Linked DNA regions of Diceros bicornis minor. The protein of the gene in region 1 interacts with the protein of each later gene in a biochemical or structural test. Links are inferred from orthologs where the notes say so. Each region holds a gene or a part of one and is shown in the gene's direction. Other genes may lie near its edges.

The links. The genes of interacting proteins can lie anywhere in the genome.
Region 2: the proteins of MYO5B (region 1) and RAB11FIP2 form a complex in vitro, tested with the Homo sapiens proteins (2 studies listed by BioGRID). The link is inferred for Diceros bicornis minor from reciprocal best matches to the Homo sapiens genes MYO5B and RAB11FIP2.

Annotation. Positions count from the first base shown.
Region 1 is NC_080755.1:42,690,504-42,694,248, reverse strand, and holds the start of MYO5B (unconventional myosin-Vb), read left to right. Parts: upstream 1-1,443; 5' UTR 1,444-1,861; coding exon 1,862-1,888; intron 1,889-3,745. UniProt on the Homo sapiens protein: May be involved in vesicular trafficking via its association with the CART complex. The CART complex is necessary for efficient transferrin receptor recycling but not for EGFR degradation.
Region 2 is NC_080745.1:81,039,012-81,042,756, reverse strand, and holds the start of RAB11FIP2 (rab11 family-interacting protein 2), read left to right. Parts: upstream 1-873; 5' UTR 874-1,269; coding exon 1,270-1,622; intron 1,623-3,745. UniProt on the Homo sapiens protein: A Rab11 effector binding preferentially phosphatidylinositol 3,4,5-trisphosphate (PtdInsP3) and phosphatidic acid (PA) and acting in the regulation of the transport of vesicles from the endosomal recycling compartment (ERC) to the plasma membrane.

The DNA of each region.
Region 1 (3,745 bases):
AGCAAGTGGGCTTTCTTGGCTGGAGAGCAGAGAATTCTCTACCGAGGTATGAAAACATTGAGTGCTGGGCCCCTCCCCCAGCGTTGCGGATTCAGTAAGTCTGCGGTGATGACTGATAATTTGTATATCTAATAAGTTCCCAGGTGATGCTGATAGCCTGAGGGCCATGCTTAGAGAAATACTAGAATATAGGGAAGGAATGGATGCAGAGATTTTTGAGTGAGAAATGATGGAACCATTTCCTTTCTGCTCTTGACAGTGACATGATGAAGTCCATTTCAGATCCAAGGAGAGTAGCCCAAGCTTTGGTTACTGCATTTGTCAACCCAGAAGTACAATCCTTTAGACTATGGAGGAGCTTAAAAAATTCAGATAATTTCCACCCTTCACCAATCATCCAGAATTCTTGAGGGTGGGGCCCCTTCCTTGGGTCAGTTAAAGCTCCCCAGGTGAACCTCATTGAGGAGGCACAGTTGAGAGGGGTCCCACGGTGAATTAAATGGGGATCTTGCATTCCAGGTGGGAAGGTCTTAAATGGGATGAGTTTTAAGAATCACCTTCCAGGGAATGGGGCTCCAGGACAATCCCTCCAGCAGGTATAGACAGACACACTGGCTGAGGACCACCCTCAGATGCCATTCCTCATTCACGTACAAAAGCCACCTTCGGAAAACCAAAGCCGTGTCCCCTCCTCTCCTTCCACCAACTCCTGTCAGCTATTTTCCTTTTTGGCTGAAATTTCTACTTTTTGCTGGAAGTAGAAGAGGGACTGTAGTTGCTGAAGACAGCCAAGGGGCACTAGCAGAGGGGACAAAAATAAACGTGGCAGGGAGCGGCAGAGCGACTGAGAGTGTGCATGTGGGAGAGAGGGGAGAAAATGTGAGACCCCCGGCAAAGCATGAAAGTCTGATGGAGGTAGCTGGGAGCCTAGCTGGAAGCTGTGGGTGAACCGGGCAAACGAAGTGACGAGTTACAACTCCCACCTTTCTGATCAGGATTTCAGCGCAGGGAGCTCAGTTTGGCGGAGACAATCTTTGGTATACCCAAATCACCTTAATAACAATCTACGATATAACTGAATTTTAATCATGAAAATATTGAACGCAGCCACGTAAAATCCAGAGGAAAATATATGGGAGCCTTTCAGTCACAGGCATCTTTTTATCCCCCCTACCCCCCGGCTTACTTTCCCTCCTTTTTTTCTCTTGTCTCCACTACATCCCTGCCCAGCCTCCCAGGGGCACAGACCGCGTGCAGGCAGAGCGCGGCGCGGCAGGTGTGGGCCCCCGGGGCGCACCTGTCCCAGCGCGCGCCCGGCGTCCAGCAGGGGGCGGCCGGCACCGGCTCCTCGCCCGGCCCCGCCCCCGGCCCCAAGGACCCCGCTGCGGCGGGGGCGCGGGAGGGAGCGTCCAGCCCGGCCCCGCAGGGCTCAAAGGCGGCGGCGACGGCGCCCCGGCTGCCAGCTCCGACGAGCGCCGCCCTCTCCCCCTCCCTGGCTCCCGCACCTCCTCCCACACCTGCGCGGGGAGCGGCGCCGCGCGGCCTCCTCCCCCCCCCCCCACCCCCACCCCGCCCGCAACTCCGGCCCGGCCGCAGCTACGCCGCCGCGGCGGGAGTAAAGGTCGCGCCGGCAGAGAGCGAGCCGGCCCCGGCGCCTCCAGGAAGCCGGCGGGGCAGGTCGGGGGGAAAGGACAAGAAACACAGAAACTCCCGGGCAGCCCAGGAAGATGGCGCCAGGCGGGCCGGCCGGGGACTGAGAGCCGCCGGGGCAGCGAGGAGCCCGGACCCGCCGCCCCCCGGCGCACGAGCGAGTGCCGCCCGCCAGGCACGGCGCCCCGGGCCAGGCCCGGCCCGCGGGGTCATGTCGGTCAGCGAGCTCTACAGCCAGGTGAGTGCGGGCTGCGCGCGGCGCGCTCGGGCCACGGCGGCCCTCGGGGGCGCCTTCTCCTGCGGCGCCGGCAGGTGCTGCTCCGACTCCCCCTCGCCGCCTCCTCACGCCCCGAACTTCGGGTGGCGGAGAAAGTTTGGTTGTTCCAGGAGCGCCCCGCACTGACCCAGAACCGCGGGGGTGTCCCCGCCACCTCCGAGCCGGGTGCGTGGGGACAGCCCCCCGCGGTGGCGCCCTGCGCGCCGCCGCCCCCTCCATTCGCTGCTGGACCCCACCCCAGGTGCTCTGCGGCGTGAGCTTGCGAGGGCGCCCCTCTGAGGCTTCCTTTCCTCCTGCGTGCCGACGAGGGGGAACGCTGAACTTGGGGAGGGTGTTCTTGCACTTGAGGGGGGGAGAGAAAAGGGGACCCAACCTGGTGTGAGGGGGGAGGTAAGCACTGGGGAAAGCGAGGGGCGCTCCGGGGAGCTCTGGAGATCCCAGGGAAGCGCATTCATCATTTGCCGGCGATGGGCGTTTTGAGGCGGCCCCTCTGGGTGGGTACCTGCCGGGGACTTCATCTGTTGTAGGGAGGGCATCGGAGTAATGCTGACCCGGGGTGGAGTGTGGATTTTCGGGGTGCCCTCAAGGTCAGAATGGATGTGCGAGGCTCCGTCCTCAGAGTCGGGAACAGGTGCGGCCGGGCGGAGACGCCCCGCTTCCGCGGCAGTCGCTGTGGTTCAAGTTAGGGACCAGCCGCCGCTTCCCCGAGCGCCTGCGGTCGCGCTGCAGCCGCCGGGGCCGCCTCGGGTTTCACCTTGGCTCCAGGGATGAGGGGGGCAGGGGCCTTTAAGCCCCCTCCCCCTCCCCTTAAAAAAAAAAAAAAAGTTTCGGATGTCTCGACTCCTCATCTGCCTGGTCGTCTTCTCTGTGGCTGGGACAGGTTTGACGGTGCCTTGTACGCGCGTCTCTGTGCAGAGGTGTGTGTGTGTGTGTGTGTGTGTGTGTGTGTGTGTGTGTGTGTGATGCGTGCACGCGAGTGGGTGTGGGTGTGTTATGCCTGGGCCGATAGGTCTGGGCGGGGGAGGAAGAGCTACTTCCGCATGCTCACCTGGCGATTGCTCGAAGCTGCTCCCGCGGGTGGTCGAGCCCTTCGGCTGGGCGGGCTGGCCACTCCTTTTCCCTAGAGGAATTTTCTAATCCCTCCTTCCTCCTGGAGGGGACCAAGGCTTAGATGGGCTGACATGAGGTGGCCGTGGAGGCTGTAACCTGGCTGGGGGCGGGGTCGCAGCTGCATCTGACACACACTCCGCCCCCGCTAAGGTCCCCTGCAGCTGTGACGGATGGACTACAGATTCTGGGAGAGGAGAGGAGAGGAAAGGGTGTAGGTGCCGGCCAGGGGGTGAAATCTCTGGCACTCCTGGCTTTGGAAAAGCACCGCACCCCGTTTACCCTTGGGAGTCGTGGGAAGAGCCCTCAGAGCTCCAGCTTTCAGGTGTCTTCCTGAAGCGGCTTATCAGGCAGGAACTTCTCCCGGAGGCTGGAAACCAGCGAGGCAGGGAAAAACATGTGCTGGAGAGTTTAAAGCACTGAAGCTTCGTAACATTGAAGTGCACGAAAATGCTACTCGTACTCCCAAGTGCGATGAGTGACTCAACTGATTACACCTGCAACGTGTCATAAAGCCCTTTATCAGACCATAATTAATTGTTGTATTATGTGACAATCCTGGGCAATTGAATAAGCTCTTAATTTTTGAAGCCCTGACTTTGAATAACGAGAATTAATATTGGATTGCTTTTAAAGACAGAACTCTTTCAGGGGAAAACACTCAATTTGATTTTGAGTTAGAAATGAGTACATTGCATCTTAATTACTAGG
Region 2 (3,745 bases), on another chromosome or scaffold:
AGCCTTCTCTCTTTTCAAAAAGAGAAGAGTGGATAAGGGGTTGGGGAAAGTGTGTTTTCAGTTAACGAAGGGGACTGATTCATTCCACCGCCATTCGTCCAACGCCCGCTCCGTGCCAGGCACTGGGCATCCAGAGTACAGCAGACAGCTTCCGAAGATTGAAACTGGGTCTCTCCCTAGACGGGGCAGGCCCCGGGCCTTCACTGCCTCCTCTCGGGAGCGGTCCCCCGATCTCCCCAGAGCTCCCTGCCGGCCCGTGCAGACCTCCACGTCCCCAGAGCCCAGCGCTGCGCCAGGCCGGAGCAGCGGGCGCGAAGCCACCCGAGGAGCACCAAGCACTGGGCGGGGAGCTCCCGCCGCGCGCCCTCGGTCGCCAGGGCAACCAGGGAGGTGCTGACCCCTGACCCCGCGGGCCCCGCCCCGTCGCGTTCCCGAGAGCAAGATGGAGAAAGCCAACCCGGAAGTGCCGCTGCCGCCGCCCGCCCGGTGCTAGGAACCGCCGGCCCGGCGAGGCCGGGCCCGTGCCCGCCGCCCTGCAGTCCGCGGCCCGGCCCGCGGCCCGCCGGCGCCGGGGCGGCCGCGTCCCCCGCCCCCCGTCCCACTCCACGCCCAGGCGACCCGCCCCGCCAGAGAGGAGGAGCCGAGGCGAAGGGGAGGAGGAGGAGGGAGAGGTTTGCGAGAGGGAGCGAGGCCGCGCGAGCCGCCGGCGGTTCGTATTACCGGGGTCGGGAGGAGGAGCCGGGCCGGGCCCGCGGACCCGCGCGGGGCGGGCGGGAGGCGCGGCGGGGGCGGCCCGGCCGCGAGGAGGCGGGCGCGAGGCCGGGGGCTGCGGATCTGGGCGGGCGGGCCCTAGTCTGCAGGGCGGGGGCACCCTCCCTCCTCCGCCGCCCTCCGCCCGGCCCTGGAGGCCAGGCCTCACCTGCCCGCAGGCCCGGGAGCCGCCCGCCGCCGCCGAGGGCCCGTCCCCGGGGCCGCGGAGCCTGAAGGTGCAGACGCGAGGCGCGGGCGTCCGCGCGGAGGCCGGGACGGCGCGGCCAGGTGATGCTGGGCCCCTGTGCTTCTCCAGAGGAAAGGGGACCCCCAGAGCAGCCGTGCCCCCGGGCTGCCCCGGTGAGGCCATTTGACATCGGCCCTCGGGAAGTTGGGCAGCTGTGAGTTTGCCGGTCTCTGTTAAGTGCCCTTAGGATGCAGGGTTTAAGGAATTAGGCTCCCCCCACCGGGAGGGGCACTGCCTGCGCTTGTGAACTCGCTGCGGAGAAGCAGCACAGCATGATGCTGTCCGAGCAAGCCCAGAAGTGGTTTCCAACCCACGTGCAGGTCACAGTGCTCCAAGCCAAAGATCTTAAGCCAAAAGGCAAAAGTGGCACCAATGACACATACACTATAATTCAGCTGGGCAAGGAAAAGTACTCCACCTCAGTAGCTGAGAAAACCCTTGAGCCGGTCTGGAAGGAGGAGGCCTCTTTTGAGCTACCTGGCTTGCTAATGCAGGGGAATCCAGAGAAATACATTCTTTTCCTCATAGTTATGCACAGGTCCCTGGTGGGTCTGGATAAGTTTTTAGGGCAGGTGGCAATCAATCTCAATGACATCTTTGAGGACAAACAAAGAAGGAAAACAGAGTAAGTTATGTAATTTATTTTGAATTTTGGGGGAGCTTAACTCTGTCTTATTTATGGATTTTCTGTTCTTGGAAATTATTTGTATACCTGGGGCGTTGGTTTTTGGACTGAAATATGACCCAGTTTTAAGCACCATATTTGCATGAATCTGAAGTAAAAATAGCCCTTGTGAAGAAACATTTTATAAATGGAGTCATTAATGCTCCATTACTCTATTTGTTTGAGTAAACATATTAAATAATTGAATTTTTTGCACTGGATTTTAAGTAAATTAACATCGTTTCACTACTTATAAGGGGACTGGATCACAGTGTTGACCAACGAAAACAACATACATGTAAATTATCATCTTTAAACATACAGTTTTCCGGGAAATGGAACATCAGAAAATTAAATCTGCCAATATAACATCATATATATATGTGGAACTCTGAAGCTGTCGAAAGATAAATTACCAAATTTGGAACTCTGTGTTCCATTTCATCCTTATAAACATACTTGGGTTTTATTTTAGCTCAGCCATTTTTCAGGGGCAGTACATCTTGATGGAGTCCAAAGCTGTTAAAAGAAAGTAAGTTTTAAAAGTATGTACAAACATCCTTAGCCTTGAACACACTAACATTTTCCTTTGAATTTACAATATATTGGAGCTACTATGTGACTTCAGAATTAGGTCTAGTGTGTTTAGACCATATTAAATGCTGTCAGATTGGAGACAATGGTTAATTTGTGATGAAATGATTTAATAACATCTTCAATGAAAACATGGCTTTTTAAATATGACTTTAAGCTTAGGATAGATAGATATATGCTAATTTTAAAAAACTATAATATAAATGAACACTAGAATATTATATCTTAAATTGAAAAATAGTGTGTTTTCAGAGATGGGTATACTTGCAACTTCCTTAAACTTATAATTTTTCTAGTCTGAGAGATCATTAAGATTGATGGAATTAATGAGAGAGAAAAATAGGGTTGAATTTATAAGAGGACTTGAAATTTCCAAAATAGCTTTGGTATTTCAGTCATAACTAAAATTTATGTAACCTTTTAAAAACTTGTTCATAATGATAATTTTCTTGAAGTTCATCTTAATGTCTTTTATTTTAAAACAACCATCTCTTGTTCTTTTCTCCACATAGCTTCCAGCAAGCTTCTCTTGATTGGAGTTTTTATTAAAAAATTTTTTTAAATCAGATCTTTACCTAAGGCTTAATATATATATGATAGTTGGGTAGAAAAATAAGAAATAGCAGGAATGCAAGAGGAAAAATGATAAATATTTAAGGTAATTGAGGAGATGAAAATATTTTTTAAAAAAGGAGAGGAAAAGTTTTTAAAAACGTAAAGTCGACTATGTATCGATGATTTTAATAAAACTGGTACCTACAAAGTGGCATCCAGTTTCCTCTGAGGAGTTCTTCATCAACTTTAAAATGAAAAATGGATAATTACCAAATAATTTGTTTCAAATTGCCAATGTTAGATGACACTTCCTATATAATAAAGTGTTTTGAATGTAAACTTTATATTGTAACTTCAGATTTCACACTGCATTCACAGTACTTTTCATGTTAATGAATGATATATTACAAGACTTCTCTGAAATATAAATTTTCCAAGTGAAAGTAGGCCCAACTGCGAACCCAAAGATTCTGATGAAATAAATAAGTTTTTAATGTTTCTTCTTGTTTTACTCCTTATCTTTGGTAGCATCACAGTTACAATAAATTTGGCTGTAAGCAATGCTCTAATATCGTAGTCTCCCTACAGAAATTCTCTATGGGCTCCTATATAAAATTGGTTAGAACTTTTGGGGGGAAAATGCTTTTAAATGTTATCAACAGAGCTTTTATTGCATTCAAAGTGGTTTTCATATGTTATTAAATCCCTAACATTTTCTTTCTTTGTGGATAAATGGGGACCACGTATTTGATGAGATATCTTTATTGGTAATATTCCTAGTTTTTTAATATATTTAATAGCTTCCTTTTCCAGCACAGCTGTACATGTGGCACAGTAAGAGACAGACTTGAGCCGGCAGTGTATTGCAAGAAAGATATTTAATATTCTCCACATAGCTGAACCTTGTCAGCATATTCCCAAGTGCTTTTTAGAAA